3 linked regions of the Oryzias latipes genome follow. The protein of the gene in region 2 binds, or shares a complex with, the protein of the main gene of each other region. Links are inferred from orthologs where the notes say so. Each region holds a gene or a part of one and is shown on either strand. Other genes may lie near its edges.

Region 1 (3,570 bases), on a different chromosome or scaffold from region 2:
ACTGTCACTGCGCTAAACTGAGGCTCATCTGCATGACTTTGTTTGGTGTTGGGAGTGTTGCAAAGGGAATAGTAGCTTTTTGGTTTTAAAACAATAAATGTGGTCAGTTATCATGCATCATTGACATTTATCAAGTATGAGACTGGCTTGTGCTTTATAGTCCTTCAAATCCTTGAACTTTTCCAGATATTCCAGGATTTTTGCCTCCATAGAAATCCATGGGGAATCCTTGGTGCAGAAGCTCGCTGGTTTGATCCCTCTGGCATTTTTCACACACGTATCTATTTGTTATTGTGCTGTTTTCACTTTATTGTTGTTCAACTTTGATCATTTCTTTCCTTTTTTGTGCCAATTCTTACCCTTTAAAGGTTCATTTTCATTCAACAATATAGCATTCAACCCTGAATTTTCTTCTGGAAATGCGGCTCCTTCTAGTTCACCTAACATTTTCTGAACTAAAAAATGCATCAGCTACATTAAAAAAAGGCTCTGGTTTCTTACCTCCACCTGATTTCTTTATTGCAAAGACATTCAACTAAGTTCCTAAAATAAATGTTCCAGAAGTTGGTTTTCAAAAGTTTCAGAAAAACATAATCAAGCATTTGATACAACCCCCCCCCCCCCCCCCCCCCAAAAGAAAATAAAATACAAAAAGGCCAGTTTGCTTTCCTGACCTAACGTACATTACTCCCTGGGATCTGCAGTTTACGAAGTTTGTTGAACAACTCCAAGTACTGCGTCATGGTGTCAACACAGTCCGCTGCTGCAAAAAGCCCTTCGGGTTTAGCAGCAAACACAGATGGAAGTTCGGGAACGCTGGTGCCAAGAAAAGACTGCATGAACTCCTTCATGAGGTTCCAGCAGTCCCCAGGAACCACACAGGGGCAGTACTCCACCTGCAGTAAAACACACAGGGCACATCATGTCCACCCGTCCCGCTGAAAGGGACAAACTGCATTTCCATACCTCCACTGAAATGCCTCTGGCGCTGGAGCTCATCGTCACAGTGCCCACCTTTATCAAAAAGTCACAGTATCGGTAGCGGGAGCCTCGACTCTCCACCTTGTGTCCCTTGGCGTTCTGGAAATGACTTTTTAACTTGGACATGAGGACGTCAAAGTTAGCATCAGCTACTAAGTAGGGTCCTCCTTCGAATAGGGCCATGCAGCTCAGAGGGGTTTCAGAGTTATGCATCACGTATAAGAGCTTGGAGGGCTGACCTGTGACAGACGGGAAACACTGGATGATGCATTCAACTCAATAATACATAAACTCCACATCCATGATTCAAATAAAGGCACATCTGTTATTGATGTAAAAAAGGTTTTTAAAGTCTAAAACCTTAAACAATATTTGGTTTTATAGTAAGGCTTTGAGATGGTTTCTACCATAAAAGGCCAGAGCCATTAAAGTGCAGCTGAAGGGGTGATCTGTCGTCACACTCCAGTAGAACTAATAGGACCCTTATCTAATTTGTAAAATATTCTCAAGATAATTTGACAAACACACATAAGATAAAGTGGCTATGTATGCTTAATTGTGTCCCATATTTACTGCAGATGTGTCTGAAGGAAGAATTAGCAAAAGCCCTGAATGTTCTTGTTAAAAATGCTACCAATTAAATGCAAGGGCACAAACGGAGCTCATATGCCAATCACCTTTTTTTAATTGCTTTTTAAAGGTCTAAGCAACCACAACTAATTACCACATGAATAAATAACTACTAATATGTTTCCCGCGTGATGCTTGAAAAAGTAGCGAGCTTACCGACAACGTTTCCCGTGGCGTGGTATGTCTCACAATCCACGCAGAAGCTGCCTTGTTTCACAGAACCGAGCTGCTCCAGCTTTTTTTGCAGGACGTCCACGGTCTGCTGCACACTCTTGCCCTCCGCTATGGGCACCTGACAAACACTGAAAGACAAAACACCCGACTGAGCAGCGACAACCCAACGCATCCATGAAGGGGAGGAGCACGCTTTCCCCAAAAGAACAAACATTTGAAATAGACAGGTCCTATAAACATAGCGAAACCAAACTATGTTGAAATAATAATTACACTTTAATGAGCCAAAATATTCCTTACCAAGTTACTCCCATTTTTGTTTTGCCTCCTTCGCAACTACTTCCGGTTAAACAAATTGACTTCCGGTAAAGGAAAAAATAAAATAAAAATACAAGTGAACATAGACGAATTGAGTTAAACTGATTAACTCAGTTAATAAACATAGGTTCTTTCATATATAATGTTTCGAAACATTTTTAATGAAACCGGATGTGACGTAATGTATTTCCGCTGCCTCTGTCGCGCATGCCGTTTGTCCGCACGTGCTAAACAGCTGGGTGTTTACACACTAAAAAGGCATAGACAGGCTTTAGCTTGTAAATTTTTTTGGAGCTGTAGCGATGCCGAAAGTGAAGAAATCTAAAGGTGGAGGAGAAAAGAGCTCTGGATCCGTGGCGCTGGCTGACCAGATCCTGCAGACGGACACGGTCCGAGCCCGCAACCGGGTTAAGAGCAGAGACCAGCGGCCAGAAAGCGACGACACCTACGTAGACGAGCGGCTGTCGCGGAAAATCCTACAGCAAGCCCGAATTCAGCAAGAGGAGCTTCAGACCGAATATGGGCTGGTACCGGAGAAGAAGAAGGCGACACCGGTCACTGTTCTTGGTAATGTTGGATCAGAACCAGGACATCCGCTTCAGTTTAGAAAATGATCAAACAGAAGCCGTTGATTAAGGTTTCTAAAGGTTCTCTCTTGTTCTAGTTTTTCTTACCGAAGAAAACGATGACCAACTTTAGTAAAGTTGCATCACAGATTCATCACAATTCAGACCCATCTACCCTTAACAAAGACAAGTACACTTGAAGTTTACTTAAGGATACTTGAGTAATAAGTGTGTAGTAGTGTACAAGTATAGACCATGTACGTGTAGTGTAGGACATATAGTAACTGAATACTTTTTCAGACTTTTATTGGAAAATTTTAAATGTATATAAAAAGAAAATTCTAGTTTACTGCTTTACTTTTAGTATAGACAGTATACTTGTAGTTTACTTAAATAGACTACTTTTTGCTAAGGGATGCACTAATGCTATGACTTAAAAATAAAGTTAACTGTTCACTAATGATGGTTTTAGTAAACACTCCAAATTAAAATACTTTCAGTAAATAAATACTTAAAAATAGAAGTAATAATGTTTTCATTTACTCGTTTCTGTAGTTAGTTGGGTGATTCCATACATCTAGATCTGCATCTTTTCATTATGTGAGTTCTAAACACTCCTGTAACTGTAGGTCCTGAATCTGGGGATGCAGACTCGGATGAAGAGTGGCCCGCACTGGGAGAAGCAGTTTCTGGGGCGGCAGAAACCGAATGTGATGCTGAAATTATTGTAGACCCAGAAGACGAAAAGGCCATTGAGATGTTCATGAATAAAAACCCACCAATGAGGCAAGAAACATGGCAGTTCTGACTAACCAACAACAACAAACAGAAACCACCAGGCCAGTTTCTTCTGTCCCTACTAACATGTTTCTCTTTCTCGTAGGAGGACCCTGGCAGACAT
Region 2 (3,649 bases):
TTTGGGGCACGGCCGCCAGGCTGTGCAGATGGCTCAGCAGTTGAACTCGGTAGTGCGGCTGGATGTGGTGCATCCTGTAGCTAAACATCTCCAGTAGCGTGTGTAGGATTCCCCACGCATGAGACTTGAACACATTGGGCAACAACTGGCCTGAAAAACAAGACCCAAAATGCTTTTTTTACACCCCAAAATGATTAGAAATCAAAAATATTGGGGTTTTTGAGTAAAATGTGTAATTATTCACTACTTAAAATGCTCATTGAGACAATATATTTTCTATAAACATTTCTAAAAAATGTCAAAGTAGTCAAAAAAGGACCATAGAGACTGACTGATGAATCCTTTGATGCCCAGTGACTCGATCTCCATGTAGACCAGCAGTCTGCTGTAAGTTTCCACCAGAGCGGGGGCCAGGGCGATGCTGGACTTGGCGTGGGCCAGTTTGATCACGCGTGTGGCGATGCTGTGGATTAGACTGGAGACAAGAAAGCAGACAAAAGCAGCAGCAGTGAAACATTTGCTTCACTCCACATCTTCCCGTCTGTTTTTTTTCCCCCCGCATACCTCATCTTTGCGTGAACCGTCAGGGAGTCCAGCAGATTCATGGGAAGGGGGGTGACCGATCCTGATGCCATACAGTTAGTGCCTGGCAAACTGGTCCTTACGGACGCGTTTCCGTAAATAGTTTCCACCAGGACGCCCATGGGCAGGGTGAAGCACTCAGAGTTGGTGCTGTACGCGTTGCACAGCAGGGCGATCTTATAATCAGACATGCCCAGGGTCTTATTACGCAGCGACTGCTGCAAAAACCTAAAAAAAATGGATAAGGGAGGGCTTTTAATCACACTGAGCTGACCCAAGGAGAAAAAGTAATGAAGGTATTTACAGGTGCATCTCAATAAATCAGAACATGACAAAAAACAGATCTATTCTAGTATTTTCTTTATTATAAATGGAAGAAACCCTTCTCAGGCACTGCTGGAGTGTTACAGAAGTCTCTGTGCTCATCATCCTTTTTTACGTATCAATAGACTCTCGATTAATCGGAGACGATATGGTCCCTAAAACTAAAAACTGGTACCTTTGGTAATTTAGGCAGATAAAATCATTTCAAATATAACTGCTGGATGGCTGCACTGGCCTGAGATCTGAAAAAAAACACAGTAATCGAACATCATGAGGACTGGTTACTAAAACTGCCAGACTCTAAAACCTAAAGAACTTTCATTGTTCTCCAAAGTAAAAGAAGCCTCAGAAAAATCTGTGCACTGTAGTGTCTTGAAATAAGGGATTTTTGAGTAAATCTATGAGTGGAGGCTTCCAAGTCTCTGACGTCTGCAGTCCACTTCTATTAAAGTCACATTTTTAAAGAGTTTTTTTTTTCAAATTCTCTCAACGGTGGGCCCCTTTCAACTATTGAGGTATTTGACGATTCAGTCCGACTGCCTTCCAAAAGTAAATTGCCTGACAACAATAAAATTACACTTTTATGTATTCTGTCTTTAAAAAAAACAAATACTAATAATGGATTCGATTTTCCAGACGATCAAAGCTCAGACAATGTGTCCATTATTCAGTCACTCCTCACTCATACTTGGTGATGACAGAGGCGGCCCCCTCTGACCATCACCGGGACATTCATACACATTCACACACCAGTGGAGCCACACTGGAGGCAGGGAGGGTGAAGTGCCTTGCCCAAGGACACAACGACAGTCTACTCGGGGAGAGCGGGGGTGGAACCGCCGATCCTTCGATCACTTGAGAACCTGTTCAACCGCATGAGCCACTGCCACCAAGTAGATAAACCCACTTTTTCTGATTTATTTGGATGCATTAGGCGGGTGAAGATGCATACTCGTGGTGCAGCTTCAGAGAGTGTGGAATGGGGATCTGCAGCTTGGAGTTGTCGCTCTGAGCTTTGCGGTTCAGGTGGATCCAGATGCAGGTCATGGCGAAGGAGTGAGTCGACTGGGGCTTGTTGATGTCGGGCACAGGAATGCACTGCAAAAGTTCAACCACAAAATTCAGAGACGGATCCAAAATAACAAAAAAGACGTTTTTATCTGAGAGGATTTATAGAAACACAAAAGATCAGGATTCGTCTTTGAGCACAAGTACCTCCTTTTCCGGGTAAAGTAGGTCAAAAAGCTTCATGACTGGCAGGAAGTCGGCCAAAGCGTTTTTCTGAATGCTTCCTGATATGAACTGCAGCAGCACCCACATCAGGTGATCTCTCCCTTTGATGAGACCTCTACCTGCAAGCTACGCCAAAAGAGCAAGTGAAAGATGAGTGAGACATTTGAATCAAAGGGGTTTTATGTGGCTGCAGCGGCCTGCTAACCTTCTGGTGCAGCGACAGAACCATGTGAGGAAAGCTGGCAAACTGAAACAGCACGAAGAAGATGAGCTGGGAGGAGAGGTGCTGCCACAGCAGCTGACTGGTCCCCCCGACGTCGGCGTCAAAGTGCTCCTCGGTCTCCGAGCGCTCCATGGCGTACACTACCAGGTCCACCAGCTGCTCCTCCAGCACCGGGCAGCGCTGCTTTTGCTGGGAGAGGAGGGTAAAAGAACGGAGAGGACAGGAGGTCAGGTGGAAAAGAAACAAGAAACAACAAATAGAGTCCATGCTCCAGCCGGTGTTACTTAGAAACAGAAAAACATTTCAATCCCTTGCATGCAGGACTGCGTCTCCTTCCTGCCTATGTCTTCTCAGTTCAGCTCTGTTCTGGTTTGTTTTGGGGCCTCCTTGTTCCGGTTCTTTCCACTTTTTCAACAAATGCAGCAAACTAAAAGGAAGCTTTTCATGCCCTCAGCAACTTCAACACAAACGGGAGAACAGAAGCAGAGCTGACGCAGGTAACAAAATAATAAAATAAAGTAAAAGAATTAGACATTAGGAGGCGGGGTCGTGGAATAAAACAGGTAAACATCAAACAAAAATGGGATTAGGAGTTCTGAAGTTATCTAAAACTGATTCCTGGAGCTTTGCAAATATTTACAGTCAAACCTCTCTTTCTTTCTTATTTACCTTTTATTTTATTTTGGTTAAACTTATTCATCCACAGACATATGGATCCTTTGATTTCCCTAATGTATAAAAAAGTAACTTCAATTTAAAAACTGTTTTACTGTTAGAATGTAAAACAGAAATATTTGACAGGTGACTTCAGGTAAAGGCAGTGGAGAATTCTGGGAAACATTTCCAAACATTGTGGAGTTTTAAAGTCTGCAGGCAAATTTTCAGGAAAAATGATTTCATCAAAGAAAAGATTGCATTTCCCCAACATAACCAAGGATTACAAATAATAATATGTGAATACAGATAAAGTTGGGTCCGTTTGAAAAGGGATTGAACGACACAGCACAGCAAAAGAGAAGTTCGGGGACCATGAAAGCAGAACACCAAGCAGCGAGTCAGCGCCAAGCATGCAACACATTCCCGCATGCAGACTGGCAGCTCAGGAAGAGGAGGAGGAAGAGGAGCTGTGAGGCTGAACGTGGCTTTTTGTCTATTCTACACAACCCCAATCACACAACAGCAACAGAGCAACAAAGGCACAGAGAAGGGACAGAGAAGGATCCACAGACATTTACCCCCAAGAGAGAAATCTGCCACAAAAAACGGTTCTAGTGAGGGAGCCGATAA
Region 3 (4,156 bases), on a different chromosome or scaffold from region 2:
AAAAGAAATGACTGTAAAAAGATCCAGCTGTTGGTTCTTTCATCTGGAGAAAAGTTGTCAGAAATTTCAGATCCATAGTTTATATTATGTTTTTCCACCCCGCTTTTGACTTTTTTGTTTTTATTATGTCATTAATGTAAAGTTTATTGCAAATCTTTCATGGATATGTGTTGTTGCAAATAAATATTTTTTAACATTTTGTACACAAGTTCCATTACTGTGAAACAACGGTTAAATTAAATTTTCATGTAATCAAATTATTTTAATTTGCAAAGAGAAATTTTCTCAATATGCTACTGTGAGGTAAAATTAGAAGAAAAATGGCTTAAAATACTTTTACCCCAAATATGTTTGTTACATAATTGTTTTGCTCAGCGTACATGATTTAACCATGAACCTTCTTTCTGTTATGTCATAGATAGAGAGATAAAGAGATAGATAGATAGATAGATAGATAGATAGATAGATAGATAGATAGATAGATAGATAGATAGATAGATAGTTAGATAGATAGAGAGATGACACTTTCATTTGCAGGTAAATTATTCATTACAAATAAAAAACTTCAGTATAAAGCAAAGCTAAAAAAGCTAAATATGAATGTAATTTAATGTAATTGCACAGTAAATTAAGAAAAAATGGTTCTCTTCAGGCTCAGAGGGTCTGATTATGTCAACATGAAGGAGCAAAAATGTGTAAATTCTTAATACAGTTTTACAAATTAACATATTTTACATAGTCATAATTGCAATGTTCAAACTACCGGTAATTCACCTGCAAAATATTTGCAAAAAGAATATGACTATTTCTGACTTAGGGCTGAAGATCACAGAAATTATAGAAATATTTTGTCATGAATTTCAAGCTCACCTGCATTCTCTTGATCATCATTAACTGCTCCACCAAAGGCTGGATCTCTCCGATTAAATTCATGGTTGCCTCCAGCATGATGAAGGCATGAACTGATGGGAAGGAGGCACGCACTGGAAGCTCACACTGCACAGAGAGCATGCTGGGAATACTGGGGAGAGTCAAGAGTCATCCCAAGAAAAATTAACTTTTTTTAATGTTTTAAAACACTTTTGAGTAAGAGCTTAGTGGCTGAGGAACCTTCACCTTTTTACTAAAAACAAACTTTCTTCCAGTGAAGTCCTTAATGTTTGGTTTGGTACATTTCCAAGACCTTCCGTAACTTTAATCACTGCTTGCTCCACATTGTTCCAGGACCCTTTGGAAGAGGAATTTCACATCAAACCTTACAAATGGTGAACATGCAAACAAAGACCATAACCTTTGTGTGCACAAATGCCTACATTCTCTTCCATAACATTCATATTTCAATATTGTCTTTCAATATTTTATTCCCAAACCTTGATCTTCTAATCGGGCGATATGAACCAGAGCTCTGTTCTTGGTGCTTTTCATCAGGGTATGAAGCCTCTCCTGACATGTTCTGAGAATAGCCTCTATGCTGGGTACCGGTCCGAGCTCTCTCAGGTTCTCGCAGTACCACGCACAGGCCTGCAGCAGCCAGACCACCACCCCAAGCAAAGCCCGACACAACCCAATGCATTCCTCTGCTTTGCCATGGCAGCTGAGTGAGAAGACAACAATGTACAGTATTAACAATTAAAGCTATAGTACAAATATAAGATAAAATACAATATGCAAGTGAAGTATTGGGGAAATAACAATAAGACAAGGCTTGGCACACAAGTAAATCAGTTAAGATTTAATTAAAAAAAAAACATATCAATAAAAATTGTTGAAAATTCCAAGTTAAAGTGAGGCAGATTGAAGATTTAAAACCCTGACAAATTTGCTGTCCAAAAAATAAATAAATAAAATAACAAAAATGTACAAGAGAAAGTCACAAGGAGAGAATAGTGGTGTTTACTCAGAAGTATTCAGACCTTAGGCGACAGCAGAACATGTCTATTATGTCCAGCAATGACTTCACACAGAGGTCCCGCGAGAAATCGTCAAACTATAAACAAAACACATTGGTTACAAATGCAGCAGAGATCCATTTAAATGCGAATCTTCTGTCCTTTTTATGATCAAACACACCTTGCTGATGGCTGTGAGCACACTAGCATAGGACACCATCTAGAAAAGTGAAACATTAACAGTCATTATTTAAAAATATATATATATACACACATTTATGTATATACACATTTATGTGTATATATATGTGTGTGTTCAGTTTTCAAAATAAAAGTTCCTTTCCAACCTGTGAACTTATAGCATATTTAAGGTAGGATAAGATGAGTGGGTTAGGGGATGGACCAATCATTGCCTGCTCCATCAAAGCTTCTGGAAAACACAAAGAAAATAATGAAAATTAAATGCATACATGTTATAGGATGAAACGCCGACGTTGTTTATCACAATCAACAACCTGCGAGGTTAAGGTAGTCCCATGTTGCTCCCTTTGGAAAGTTTTTCTTGATGTTGACAGCCCATTGGTAGTCTGTCCACCTTTCTTTCCACGCCTGCAGGATAGCCTGCTTCAAATTAACCACCTTCATGCTGGAAAGGAGCGAACACACGTATCTGTTAGAGAATAGCTAACTCACTTATGTCAAAAAAATAGCAAAATTGCCACACGTTTTAACATATAAACACTGGGTCAAGTCAATGCAGCTGTTAGATTCGCTGTTAGCATACCTTCTCAATATTAGCTAACAGAAAAAAACTAAACGTCTCTTGTTTCGCGAACAAACTCAGAATCGTCCCCGGAAAAGGCCAGAACATACCTCTCAAAGTTTCATTATTGACTTAATTCATATCTACCTGCTCTCGTTTTGTTAAAGCGCAAGATGTGGTTGTTTTTTAGTTTCACAGCTCCACAATGCAGGATACCCCCATTGCTGTTGTGAAAAACACCGCCGCTCATTGGCTACTCCCGACACTCCACCAGTATTCTTTTCGATGATTGGATAATGATGTTTTTCGCTTTTAAGCCTCAACCTTCGACTGCAGAATCTGTCTACTACCACAAGATGTCGCTGTTAACCACAGAACTTATGAAGTAGATCCGAAATTGAATGGGACTCTAAAATGTAGTTTGCAGTAAAAAAAAAAAAGCTTATTTCAGCTTTTTTCTTTCTTTTTTAAAAAGTTGGAAAATCACTACCCAATAGCAAGAATAATGAAAAATATATTTTCAAAATGAACACAATGATTAAATTAGAATAATAAGGAATCAGGAATCTTTATTGTCATTTTAAATTAGCGTCTCTGGTCCCGGGCCAGTCGTTTACAGTGAGAAGACAGGAATAAGTAAATAACAATATGATGTAGTAATAATTTACATTTATGGAACCCACAGTGCACTTTTAATTTAAAAATCTAAAATAAAAAAAAGCTTCTGAGCTTTTGTTCTTTGTTCGATTTTTGTTTTTTTTTGTGTGCACAAAAATTTGTTTTGCAAAAATAAAATGAACCCTTTCTCTGCATCAATCTCCATCAGACCAATCTTGTATTAGTCAGGGCCAACAAAGAGCTTCTTTCTGCTTGTTACTGGAGATGATGTACTGACTAGAGTGAGGTCTGTGTCCTGGGACAAGAGTTATGTAAGACCGAAAGAGATGATCAGTGCATATTAGGTGGACAAGTGTTAGAGGACTGATGAAGTTGCGTGTTTGTGTGGAGGTGTGTCTGGAGAGAATGATCTTTTCTCCTTTACCTTACACTGAGGGCTCTGTTGAGGAGGCGTGGTGACAGCTCTCCATCTGCCACAGGGGTGATCAGAGGGACTGTGGCTGCAGCTCTGTGTCTTTTCTCACGGCTTCATTTCAGAGATTAGGACATGTGCTGATTCTGGCTTTTCTCACTTCCAACCTTTATTATGTTACTTGTTATTGTTATTCAAAAGTGATCCCCCATCTTACAATATTATTGTATCATCATTGTGGTTCATTACATAACGTCTGTTTCACTTTCAAGTTACTTTCTCAGTTAAAGCTGCAGAACTACAACATAATAAACATTTATAATACAAAGTATTTCACATTTACTATAAATAATGTTATTAATATTAACAGTATTGTTTATTTTTGAACAAGTGAAAGCACACAAAAGACGACTATATTAAAATTCTTAGCTTTAGTCAATTTATTCCAACAAACTTCAAATAGAAGTAAAAAAG

What was found.
Region 1: med23 (region 2) and med20 share a complex: the UniProt entries of both Homo sapiens proteins name them as parts of the mediator complex. The link is inferred for Oryzias latipes from reciprocal best matches to the Homo sapiens genes MED23 and MED20.
Region 3: the proteins of med23 (region 2) and med24 are in contact, whole or in part, in a cryo-EM structure (PDB 7EMF), measured with the Homo sapiens proteins. The link is inferred for Oryzias latipes from reciprocal best matches to the Homo sapiens genes MED23 and MED24. Residues at the interface, in NP_004821.2 of Homo sapiens: Asn150, Thr151, Val152, Ser153, Ser154, Glu193, Gly194, Leu196, Pro197, Trp199, Leu201, Gly202, Asn203, Ser206, Asp207, Asp210, Arg213, Tyr258, Asp259, Lys260, Phe263, Ser1133, Arg1139, Ser1176, Glu1180, Glu1182, Trp1183, Val1184, Tyr1186, Arg1189; in NP_055630.2 of Homo sapiens: Lys238, Thr239, Leu280, Leu283, Lys287, Val291, Glu295, Cys336, Glu339, Phe340, Lys343, Leu344, Thr345, Pro346, Leu347, Asp349, Lys350, Gln353, Lys384, Glu720, Lys721, Trp723, Thr756, Arg757, Lys758, Glu759, His760, Met802, Asp803, Pro804.

The regions. Positions count from the first base shown.
Region 1 is NC_019863.2:2,278,210-2,281,779, reverse strand, and holds med20 (mediator of RNA polymerase II transcription subunit 20), read right to left. Parts: upstream 2,210-3,570; 5' UTR 2,100-2,209; coding exon 2,086-2,099; intron 1,914-2,085; coding exon 1,768-1,913; intron 1,221-1,767; coding exon 967-1,220; intron 897-966; coding exon 675-896; 3' UTR 620-674; downstream 1-619. Other genes in the region: bysl (bystin), read left to right, coding at 2,406-2,670, 3,299-3,455, 3,553-3,570. UniProt on the Homo sapiens protein: Component of the Mediator complex, a coactivator involved in the regulated transcription of nearly all RNA polymerase II-dependent genes.
Region 2 is NC_019882.2:15,911,706-15,915,354, forward strand, and holds part of med23 (mediator of RNA polymerase II transcription subunit 23), read right to left. Parts: intron 2,552-3,649; coding exon 2,345-2,551; intron 2,266-2,344; coding exon 2,122-2,265; intron 2,005-2,121; coding exon 1,859-2,004; intron 811-1,858; coding exon 565-810; intron 476-564; coding exon 333-475; intron 151-332; coding exon 1-150. UniProt on the Homo sapiens protein: Required for transcriptional activation subsequent to the assembly of the pre-initiation complex. Component of the Mediator complex, a coactivator involved in the regulated transcription of nearly all RNA polymerase II-dependent genes.
Region 3 is NC_019877.2:9,580,059-9,584,214, reverse strand, and holds the start of med24 (mediator of RNA polymerase II transcription subunit 24), read right to left. Parts: upstream 2,920-4,156; 5' UTR 2,800-2,919; intron 2,794-2,799; exon of another isoform or gene 2,674-2,793; intron 2,536-2,673; 5' UTR 2,535-2,535; coding exon 2,405-2,534; intron 2,320-2,404; coding exon 2,237-2,319; intron 2,110-2,236; coding exon 2,071-2,109; intron 1,988-2,070; coding exon 1,914-1,987; intron 1,595-1,913; coding exon 1,371-1,594; intron 1,229-1,370; coding exon 1,117-1,228; intron 1,022-1,116; coding exon 871-1,021; intron 1-870. UniProt on the Homo sapiens protein: Component of the Mediator complex, a coactivator involved in the regulated transcription of nearly all RNA polymerase II-dependent genes.